3 linked regions of the Drosophila melanogaster genome follow. The protein of the gene in region 3 interacts with the protein of the main gene of each other region in a biochemical or structural test. Each region holds a gene or a part of one and is shown on either strand. Other genes may lie near its edges.

What was found.
Region 1: of the proteins of arm (region 3) and mbt, one has a biochemical effect on the other in vitro, tested with the Drosophila melanogaster proteins (one study listed by BioGRID).
Region 2: of the proteins of arm (region 3) and sgg, one has a biochemical effect on the other in vitro, tested with the Drosophila melanogaster proteins (2 studies listed by BioGRID).

Annotation. Positions count from the first base shown.
Region 1 is NC_004354.4:16,608,873-16,612,701, forward strand, and holds the start of mbt (mushroom bodies tiny), read left to right. Parts: upstream 1-1,812; 5' UTR 1,813-2,319; coding exon 2,320-3,490; intron 3,491-3,561; coding exon 3,562-3,829. Other genes in the region: Nup153 (nucleoporin 153kD), read left to right, coding at 133-226. UniProt on the Drosophila melanogaster protein: Involved in neurogenesis of the adult central nervous system, and together with Cdc42, regulates photoreceptor cell morphogenesis. Phosphorylates exogenous substrates when activated by Cdc42.
Region 2 is NC_004354.4:2,644,910-2,648,738, forward strand, and holds the start of sgg (shaggy), read left to right. Parts: upstream 1-1,727; 5' UTR 1,728-1,962; intron 1,963-3,829.
Region 3 is NC_004354.4:1,898,895-1,902,494, forward strand, and holds the start of arm (armadillo), read right to left. Parts: upstream 1,753-3,600; 5' UTR 1,616-1,752; intron 1,280-1,615; exon of another isoform or gene 1,150-1,279; intron 717-1,149; exon of another isoform or gene 410-716; intron 146-409; 5' UTR 117-145; coding exon 86-116; intron 1-85. Other genes in the region: Ldaf1 (lipid droplet assembly factor 1), read right to left, coding at 1,872-2,119, 2,171-2,383, 2,543-2,720, 2,819-2,908; CG32801 (uncharacterized protein), read right to left, coding at 3,258-3,568. UniProt on the Drosophila melanogaster protein: Isoform neural may associate with CadN and participate in the transmission of developmental information. Can associate with alpha-catenin.

The sequences.
Region 1 (3,829 bases), about 15 Mb from region 3:
CATATATTATTTGTTCAATTAATGTTTTTTGTCCACATTACTCGCTGTAAGCAGCAGCAGCAACCGCCAGTGGGAGTCTCGAAATTGACCAACCAAATATGATAATGATACTAATCCATTGTTAATCCGCAGCTTCAATCCGCCAGCTGCGGGCAACTCGGCGCAGAGTTCCCAGACGGCTCGCCGCAAAATCCGCGCCCCCGTACGCCGTTTGCCGCCCCGGTAGAAATGGCATCGCAGTCGGCCATCACGATAGCAAATGAGGCCGCCGTCGGATTAGGATTAAGATATTGGCAGCCATTGCCGAGAGTAACAGAATCAGCAGTAGCAGCAAAAGCATCAAGGGCCGAAAAGGAAAAGCAAGACACAGAAGACGCCGGCAACAATAGTGGGCTCAAAGGTTCGGTCCAGAGCCAATATCACCAGGAGCCAGATATTCAAGGATCATCGAGGATAAACATGCAGTCACCAAAGTCGCCATGTGTGAACAAATACCGCTTCGTACGCCGCCACAGCCTGAACTCTGAAACCAGGAAACCCTTTAGCAGGAATATTTGGCAGAATACAACAGGAGAAGGCAATGAAACCAATGGCGACGATGTCCCTAAAACACCAACAACTGGCGACCAGGAGGACAACCAACAGGAGGAACGAGATTCAGCGGTATATACATCAACAGAACGAACTGTACTAGTAAGGACCCAATTCAAGATAGTGCGGCAAAGGAGCGTCATCTCGAAACCGAGACAGAAGCCTCCGACTTACTCTTAAAAAGCTAAGGAATAGGTTCGTTCCACATCCTTCTCTGCTCTCCGATGATTGGGAGATGACCACGCGAATGTCGCTCATACTACGCATATTGATGATTACAAATTATAAAAACACTTCGTTGGATTTACGCGAGAATTCATCGCACCAAAAAAAAAACGAAAATGAATATATTTTAACGTTATTTTTGTTGAATATATAATATACCTTAACGATAATTATGTAATAATTATTTTGCGAAATAGTAAAGAAACGTGTAATGCTGCAATCAAACAGAGATGCGAGGCCATGTAATAGCGCAAAAAATCAACTACTGTATAATGTAGTAATACGTATATTCGAGTTATTGGCCGATACGTCGAGCATATGATGATTGCAGTCAGATAAGAGCGATCGGCAAACGATTGCATTAAGTCTTTAGTTTTTGTTATTAATTTTAGCGTTTAGATTCACACACACACAATTCACACGAGGAAAATACCTGCAACGACGTTCTGTGCAGCAGCCAAGGTGGAAAGCCAACAAATTAAAGAAAAACAACTATCTAGCAACGTAAAGAAACCAACCAACCCTATAGCTAACAAGATAACAGATTAGATGAAAAGATTAGAGAGAATGGTGGCAAACTGGAAAACCGAAAGAGTTATAATTGTATGCATGTTTTTTATATACATAAATTCATAAAGAACATTTAATATTTTATTTTAAGTTTATATTGATCATTTTTAAGTCGAGAACAGAAATGGAAATCAGAAGTCTATGTTGAGAGAGAAACGGTATCATAATGTAAATAAGTAAATATATGCGGTATGATAATTTAAACATTGTGCTCTTTACTTGGGTTTTCAACTGGAATTGCAATGAAATTCTATAACGAATATTTGGTGTCTTAAAGTACATATCTTACTTTGAATGGTAATTGTTTTCAGCGCGAATACTTTACAAACATTTGAATTTCGAAAAGCCAGTTGACCACAGGCGAACTCACCATGCCACGGCAACGGTCACACTGCCGCCATTGCGATAGACATCGATAGCCGTTCCAGCACTAATACTCACGATAAACACCACCTCTATTTCTGGCATCGGCAATTATTTCCCTAGGTTTATTATTTTTTTGTTAAGCGAATTGCTTGTGCGCTCGTGCTGTCGCCATAATGTGTGCAATGTGTGCCAGCCAGAGGAGCAAGTGGTGAAGGTGTATCGCTTGTGCGCATCTCGATTTGTCCATCCATATCCAATTGAATCCCAGTTTCCCAGTCGCGTCCGCTGCTATGCGTGTGTGTGTGCGTGCGTGCCCGTGTCCCTGCATGTGTGTGTGTGAGTGAGATCGGGAAGAAGTTGTGTGCTGTTGTTGTTGTTGTTTCTGTCGGATTTGCCGTTGCCATCGTTTGTTGTTTGTGCATTTTCCATTGTCGGGCGACGCAACAAAAAGAAAAAAATTACACATTAAAAATAGAGAGCAAGAGCGAGAGGGAAGGAGTGGTGTGGAGTGGAAAAGGGCGGTAAAAGGGCAGAAATTTGGAGCACGGGAAATCCGAGTCGCTGAAGATGTTCTCGAAGAAGAAAAAGAAACCGCTGATCTCGATGCCCAGCAATTTTGAGCATCGTGTGCACACGGGCTTCGACAAGCGGGAGAACAAATATGTTGGCCTGCCCCTCCAATGGGCGTCCATTGTGGGCAACAATCAGATACTCAAGTCCTCCAACCGCCCGCTGCCACTGGTCGATCCCTCGGAGATTACGCCCACCGAGATTCTCGATCTGAAGACTATTGTGCGTCCGCATCACAACAACAACAAGGCGGACACCACCTCGCTCAACAGCAGCAGCACAATGATGATGGGCTCAATGGCGCCGATGAATCCCATGGCACCTGGCGCACACCCAATGATGAGCCATGGCCCCGGAATGATGATGCCACCCGAGACGGGCGGCATAGTCCTGCCGAAGACCTCTCACGTGGCCAGATCCAATTCGCTGCGGAGTTCCAGTCCGCCGCGAGTGCGACGGGTAGCCAATGTGCCGCCATCGGTGCCGGAGGAGGAGGGACCACCGGCAGCTGGAACACCGGGAGTAGGTGGAGCTAGTAGCGGTGGCTTTAAGCCACCCGGTGCCCATCCCTCCCTGCTCTATAACAGTCAGCATGCGCACGCGAATGGAGCAACAGGACCACTGGCCGTGCGCACGGATCAAACCAACCTGCAGCAGTATCGCAGCAATCTGGCCCCGCCATCCGGCGGCTCCATGCCCCAGCAACAGCAGACTTCGCCCGTGGGTTCGGTGGCCAGTGGCACGCGATCCAATCACTCGCACACGAACAATGGCAACAGCGGCGGCAGCTATCCTCCCATGTATCCCACAAGCCATCAGCAGCAGCAGCAGCAGCAACAGCAGGCCAAACAGGGTGGCGATCAGAACCAAAATCCTCTGCATCCGCATGCTCATCCGCATCCGCACCATCACCAACATTTGGCCAAGTCGGCGTCCAGGGCATCCAGTTCCAGCGGGGGAGCGAGCAGTGCTGCCCAGCAGGCGAGCGGCGCCAGTGGAGGAGCGGCGGGTCAGCCAAAGCAGGACCAACGACTCACCCACGAACAGTTCCGTGCCGCCCTTCAGATGGTGGTCTCCGCCGGTGATCCACGCGAGAACCTCGACCACTTTAACAAAATAGGCGAGGGCTCCACGGGCACCGTATGCATTGCCACGGACAAATCCACAGGCAAGAACATCCGCTTTAACTATTGTCAAAACCATTGAATTAATGGCATTTGGTTTTCTCATTACGTACAGGTCGCCAGGTGGCCGTGAAGAAGATGGATCTGCGCAAACAGCAGCGACGGGAGCTGCTATTCAACGAGGTCGTCATCATGCGGGACTACCATCATCCCAATATCGTGGAGACATACTCCAGCTTTCTGGTCAACGATGAGCTTTGGGTGGTGATGGAGTACCTCGAGGGCGGCGCCCTCACCGATATTGTCACCCATTCGCGCATGGACGAGGAGCAGATAGCCACCGTCTGCAAGCAATGCTTGAAGGCTTTGGCCTATTTGCACTC
Region 2 (3,829 bases), 750 kb from region 3:
AATACTTTAGCTTAGCTATTCTCGTAAGGTGGTTGTCTCAATTTATTGTCAAAATTCTGTTCTGCTTTAAATGCCAAAATTGTGTTCAAAATCTTTCGTCAAATATTCCAATAAATTAACTTCAAGGACGGACGGCCATCACCTTTTAGCCTTATTATCATTAAACAAAGCGCTACTTTCGCAAAACCATCGTTGCTATTTTGACTTGACCACAAGTCACTAGAATCAGTAACCATATCGGCCAACAAGAAGGCAGCTAAACAAGGACCCACTCGCGATGTGAAAGTCAAGAGCACGGCCATCGAGAGCGGCCCCTCCAAGCCCCCGCCGGACAAACATCTGGAGCGCCAGTTTGTCCAGTCGGTGAATAGTTAGTGTCCGGTCGCTTTGTTCAGCTGAAGTTATTGCTAATTATTATTAAGTTCTCGTAACTAATTTTGAATTTTCTTCTTCATTTTCTTTCCAGGTAAGTTGACTATCATATTACCAAACTTCCTATAAACGGGTAAGCAAAAGTCTGTTCTCCCACATTGAAGTCTATATATATATATATATGGTGATAACTGCTAAAAGCAAACTTATAGATTGTAATTGTTTTTAAGTGTTTAATTAGTTTATAAGTAAAAGCTACGTATATGTAAAGCTAGCCTAATTTCGCAGAATTTGTAGCTAGTGTTGCCCAAATGGGTTAAGTTACATGAGTTTATGTTATTTTGTTTACAAATGAAATTTGTGGAAATATGTACCAATACAGGGTTTAAGATTTCGATTGTGGCGAACATTTATGGCTGTGGCCTTGGGACTTGCATACTTTCGGGCGGCGCTCGTAATGAACCGGCTGCATTTTTCGATGCTTTCGCAATTAGCGGTGGTTAAAAGACCTCGCCACCCACATCCCCACCTCCCACATTCCCCACCCACTGAATTTTCCACTCTTTAACTCTTCTGTTTTTGTTTTGTTTTGTTGACTCATCGGCACGCGCGCTCTCATTTCGGCCTCTTTCTTTATCTCTTTCTCGGTTACCTAATTTTTGCATAAGTCGCGTCGCCGACACATGAGAAATTCCGGCGCAGCGTACTAACAAATACGCACACACTCGCACACTCGCACATGCAGCTAGCACACTCACGCACCGCATGCAAATTAGCTGTCCGCTGACTAGAAATTCTTTCGCGAGCGCTCTCTTTCCCGCCCCTTTGCTCTGTGTGCTCGCTCGCTCCCCACACGCCGCACACGCTCCCCCGCTTCCTCCCTCGCCGTTCGCCGTCCATGTGACGATCAATTTTAGCGCACATTGGGGCAAATGTGTGGAGCAAGCTGCCAGCGATGCTCTCTTTCGGGTGAGAAACAACATAAATACTTCTTTCATTTAATTCCATTTCCATTTGAGAAGCGAAGCAAAGCTTTCGGCCCACCGTGCAACGTTCAATGCTCCGGTACAGCTGCGGTCAGTCAGTTAGAAATCAAAGTTATATCAAATGTTCCTTGGAAGAGACCAAAAATGATGTGTCATGCCTTAGTAGAGACAAACTTACCTAGAAAGGTGCCTGTATTTATAAACTGGTGTTGACATTTATTTAAAGTTGTAGAAATATTGATTAGTTAGGTGGTCCTTCCGTTGCGAGCGCTGCTGTGCTGCGGGACGCCGGCGCAGGCGCTGCTGCGCTGCCGGCGACGCTGTCGGCTGATGTGAATGTGATGTAGATGCCCATGCTTCGACTCGCTCACTCGCGTTGAATCCATCGAGCAGGCGCGTCGTTCTCTCCTCTCGTTCCGGCGCGTTCCATTCAGCCATTCCGCGACTCTATTTGCCTGTTGTTTTTGTAGCTTTATCAGCGACAAAAAAAAAAAAAAACGAAACGAAACAAATATAAATATAAATAACAACGGCGAAACAAAAAGTGAAACAAAATCGTGACGCGCCTGATTACTTTATTTTTTGTGTCAACAGTGTGTGCAGTGTAATGTGTCTCCAAAAGAAAAATAAAAATTAGAAACTAGTCGAATTCAATATGCATTGAAATCTAATTAGTTGCCGCATTGTTGTTTTTGCCGCCTGACACCATTAGAAAATCACGAAAAGAGCTATCAACATGGCCTAAAGTGACCAATGAATTGGAGTTTATTTCACGGCGTTGTGAAATATGCTCCAACTTTAACCCAAAAACCCACACACACTCATTGCCAATGTATTAATGTTTTTTTTTATTTTTATTTATACTTGGGGGAGATGTGTATTTTTTTAGTGGGGCGAATGTTCTAGAAAGCTCTTTAAAGTACCTCGATTTGTGTGGGAATCTAACGCTCGTTGTTTGCCCCTTCCTCGCAATAGTTGTTTGTGAATATGTTGCGATGTATACGTATCCACGATTTCAGTGCATCTTCACTACCAAATCCAAGAAGAAGAAACTTAAAATTCATCAATGGAAAAGTTTTTGCAATCCCCCTGTCTCGCTCACTTGCTCTGGCCCCCTCAATCGCCGCTCTCTTTCCGCCGCAAGGCGCACAACAAGTGGCAAACCGAAGCGGCGGCGTCGTCTTCAAACCAGTTTTACTGTAGCGTTGTTGTTGCTGCTTCAGCTTACACTGAAAAAATAACGCAGTCAATAACGCAAATTAGTCCATAGCTTGTTGGTACCATTTCGTTTGTATATTTTATAAGCACATTTTGTAAACAGGAATTAATGGAGAATACGCAACACAAATCTAAGGCACGATTTCTAAAAAAGTTTAAATGATGTGGTGATTAATGTTTGTTTATTTATCACGACACTTAAATTGTTCTCTGTGTAATTCTGCGGCTGCTGCGTCTCCGCGATAATTGGTGCGGAGGTTGCCCCTTCAGCCCTCCCCCCAAACTCCTCCATCTACCATTCCATCTACCGTTCCGCCGATCAGTATTTGCTTTTATGGGCAAAAGTTCTTCAATGAGTGGTCACAGCATTTGTGAAGGGAGGGGGGCGGAGGGGGCTGCGGTACGTGCATGCAATTCCTTATTGGCGACAATGTTGAAATGTGTGCGCCTGTTTGAAGGAAAACACCAGAGATCAAACCAATAGCTTTAAAACTTTGATTGCCTTTTGATTAAAGCCATGTGGAACTTAGTGCCATCACCGTTATTGGGCAGATTCTAATTGGTTTTCCAAGTAAGATGCTGAAAATGCAATTTTTTCTCGTAACGTTAATCGGTGAACAGGGAATCCCCCTCATTGATCTCCCAGCGCAGTGGAGCCAAAGTCCTAAGTTTTTTCAGCATGGATGACAGTGCCTATTAGTGTGACCGCTGGTGTTTGTGGTGGCTTGGGCCAAAAGTGAATTATTCATGTTGTTGCTGCTGTCGCTCTGCCAGTGGAAAATTCCCAAAAAAAATTCGCATGAACTGCGCCGGCTGCTCCTCCGCTCCTCCGCTGCCCCACATGCTTCTCCTTCCACTCGTTCTTCTTCTTCTTTGAGTGCCCCCCAAAGGCAAAAAGTCGGAGTCGAAGTTACTTGGTGTGTTAGTTGTTGTTGCTCTTGCCCACTCATTCGCTTCGGTTTTTTTTTATTTTCTTTTCTTGTCTTTAACATTTTTTCTTTTTATAAAAATAGCACAGACGAAGAAATATTTGCACACACACACACACACCACGCACACACGTGTATTGTAGCATTTGCTAATTTTCTTCGTTTGTTTCGCTTGGCGTTTTTTGTTTGTTGATTCGCCTATTGCCTCCGTCTTCCCTCTCGCTCTCCGCCACTTTTATATTTTCAAAGACAGCAATTTGTATCTTTAGTGCGGGGATCACTTTTCTCTCTTAAACCCGACTTTCTCACGCTCTCTTCCGGCGC
Region 3 (3,600 bases):
CTCTGATACACAGTTAACTTTGATGCTCTTTGCATACTCCCTGGAAGATGGGAAAGGGAAGAGTACCGCTGCTGGAAATACTTACTGGTTCGATTCTGGGCTGGCATGTAACTCATCTTGGTGATTGAGGCGCTTTACACCACACCTGCAAGAAAGAGACGGAGAGTATATGAGTAATGTGCTGGACAGTCAATAACATGGAGTTCGTGTGTGCTTCGGATGGAGACCACGGAACTCCACTAAATGGGGGCCCCGGAAAGAAGGGCTTGTTGTGTTTGCAGACTGCCAACAGACGCAGATATCGTCCGTTAGTCACTTATTCTAGTCGTTGGTCTTTTTTTTTAACTCATTTCCGCTTTGAGATGCCGAAGCATAATATGAAATATGCTGCGTATACAAACAAACGCACTAATACATTCTTACGCAGGTAGAACGGGTATTTGTGGGTATGTGTGTGTCTACCTGCCGAAGACTTTGGCCACGAACCTTGAGTTATTTAATTACTTTGTTTAGCACTCTTTCAAATCTCATGCACTCCAACAAAAAACAAAATGGATTTTTCACTTCTCTCGAAAAAGGCGCAGCGGAAAATGCGACCGACCAGCACGCTCGTTTAAACGGAACAGAATCCAGATGCGGAGAGCGCAAGCAAAGCAAGGCACTTGCAACACCGCGCGTGCGGAGTGCGGGAAAGGGACAGGGAAAGAGACTGGGAGAGAAAGTAAAGGGCCGCGGCAGTGCAGCATACAAATGCAGTGCTGCGCAGAGTTGCCACACATCCAAACGATTGTGCCTACACACACATACTCGCGTAGGCAGCTCAGAAAGAATCCCAACTCCATTTCAGTTGTCGATTAGATAAAACACCTAACGATAAGCCTGCCTCTAGATTCGAAGAAAACGATTTCCTGTCTGTGGCATTGTTTACATTCCAGCGAGCAACAAAACAAGCGCCCGATTTACGGGGGAGGAATACATAAAAATGCCGTTTGTGTGTATCCAGATCATACACACACACATACACAGGCGCACATCCAGCGAACCCCTGCCCACCCCCGCGCCGACTTGTTTGCCATGGCTTTCCAACTTTCATGGCACACAGAAACTTTGGCTTTCCAAACGGATTCACTACCGACTAACAGTACTCACCGCGTCCAAGGAATTTAAGTCTGCTTTAGAGCAGGATTTATTTATTTAAAACGCTATAAGAAACAAAATAACAGCGAATTGTCTGCTCGAGAAAAACTGTGTATATGGCGACGAAACCCAACTAGCGATGGCCTGCTGCTGTCCCGATAACTCGATGGGCCCTGTGCGATAGGCCAAAGGAATTTTTCAAATTTTTTTTGTTCTGAGAACACAAAAATCTCACGAAATTTGTATAGCATTTCATCCTTAAGAAACTCAATTCACAATATTTATAATTTAGCTAAGGCGAATTTATTTCTAGTTCATGTTATCATGTTATCTCGAACTCACCGTTTATCTTGTATAAACATTTACCAACACAAGCACCTGAGTGTACATGAGGGTGTATGACAACACAGGTACGACCAAAAACTATTGTTTTTGGGCGACGAATTAAAGAAATATCTATGACTTTACTATTACTTACCGCTTCGAAAGTAAATTTATCTGCTCAAAGGCAGGTTAACGCACTTTTGACGCACTTAGATATTTAAATTCGACAAAAATCCCCGACTATGAAAACTGTGTATATGAGCGCAGAACAGATAACCGATAACTCCTCTATCGCAGGTGGCTGCCAACTTGCTTCAAAATAGAAAGCGCACTTTTTAAATTTCCAAAAGTATTCAAACACTGGTCTTTAATTTCTTAATACATATTTAAGTTGGGCAAGCAATATTGGTTTATGCAGTCGTAGAAGTGGGTTCATCGGTTATGGTCACAGCAGCTGGCGGCGGATCGCCGGCCTTCCGTTGATCCCTAAAGAACATGACCCACGCGCTCTTATGGATCTCTATTCCATCACATAGGCCATACACCTGGGCAAATCCGAAATAGGCAGCAACAGCGGCGACACCGAAGAGAGGTACCATTATGACTAGTCCTCCCAGGCAGGCGAAGAACACCATGGACACAATGGTCAGGAGTGTGCCTAAAACGAGTCGATAAGAACGTGATCTCTGGTAAACACTACGGAACGCACCTTCTAGCACCAGCAAACCTGTAAAGGTCATAACCATGGTGGCTATTCCAAACCCAAATATTATAAGGAAGGGCAGCATGAATACAAGACCACCAGCTAGCAGGCAGATAGCAACGTGCGGATTCCGGGTGCACCAGGCCGCGGTGGCCTCCAGGAAATCATTTCCACCTAGCTCGGACATCACAAAATCTGCCAGGCGGCAGATTTGAAGCCCTGCAATATGGCAACGTTATAACAAAGGCAACTTTTGTTACGCGGTGTGATGCATAAAACAGGTTAACAACCGTACAGAGTAGTACATATATAAGTAACTAATTGTGGCAGTAAGCAATTAAGCGCTTTTACAGATAGTACTTCAACTAGTGGACATACATGACCTGTAGAGAGTCTGGAGCAAGCTCTCCAGGAACTGGTCGCCAGTCAGAACTCCTGCACTACGATCGCCTGGGCCATGTATCTTTACGTGCTCCGGTTTGCTCTCTGTTCCCGATCCCGCAGACTTCTTGGCGTTTGCCTCTTTGGCTGCTTTGCGAGCCTTGTTCGAGTGAGCCTGCAGAGTCGATCAAATCAAATCAGTTATGAATATTATGTGAGTCAAAGAACCCAAGTGATTAGATGCCGGCTGCCACTGAGTCCGTGAAACGCGACCTTTGACTTGCGATGCCGATTCCAGCCGAAATCTACGGATTCTTCCGAAGATGCCGGAACACCCACTTCACTCACACCCGTACCCACCATGTTGCGTGGCTACTGCGAGAATCTCAGGCGGTTGCTGTGCGCATTACAGGAGGAGTCTGTTCCAGGTTCATTCGCCTGCTTGAAGCAACAGTAAATGAAAACAATATAAATAAACAAAAAATAATCGACGTCGTAGCCCTGAAACTAAATCATCGAGGGAGAGCTGCCACCTTTTTTTTTACTAAATTTGAATTAGACAAGATGCGTTTCTTAATAATGATCTAGCGTGGCTTAGTTTTGCTTTTTAATCATAATTAATTTGTTTACAAAAAAAAAATTAACACTATGTTAAAAAAAAAATTATAAATTTATAATGGCGGTCAGCGTGCGACATTTCTTCGCCGTAGGATTAGTGAAGCAGGAATCTGAGTCCGTTAAACGGAGGACGCGCCGTAATCCTCTCCGCCACCAAGCGCTCCCCGTGAACAGTCATGCCGCAGCGCACCTTCTTGGCATGCAGAAAGTTCAGATCGGCGGCTCGCTCTCCACTTTTGAGCGGCAACCAGCCGTACACCTGCGACTCCAGGAGCGGAACAGCTTTTCCGAGCTGCCTCTGACGCTCCACATGCTTCTCAGGCCAAGTGTGCCGTAGGTACCTCAAGGTATCCGTCGGCTGGCGTTGCTCATACTGGGCGTAGAACTTCCGTGTTAGCGGATGAACTGGAAGGCAGGAGAAGATATTATTAGCAGTA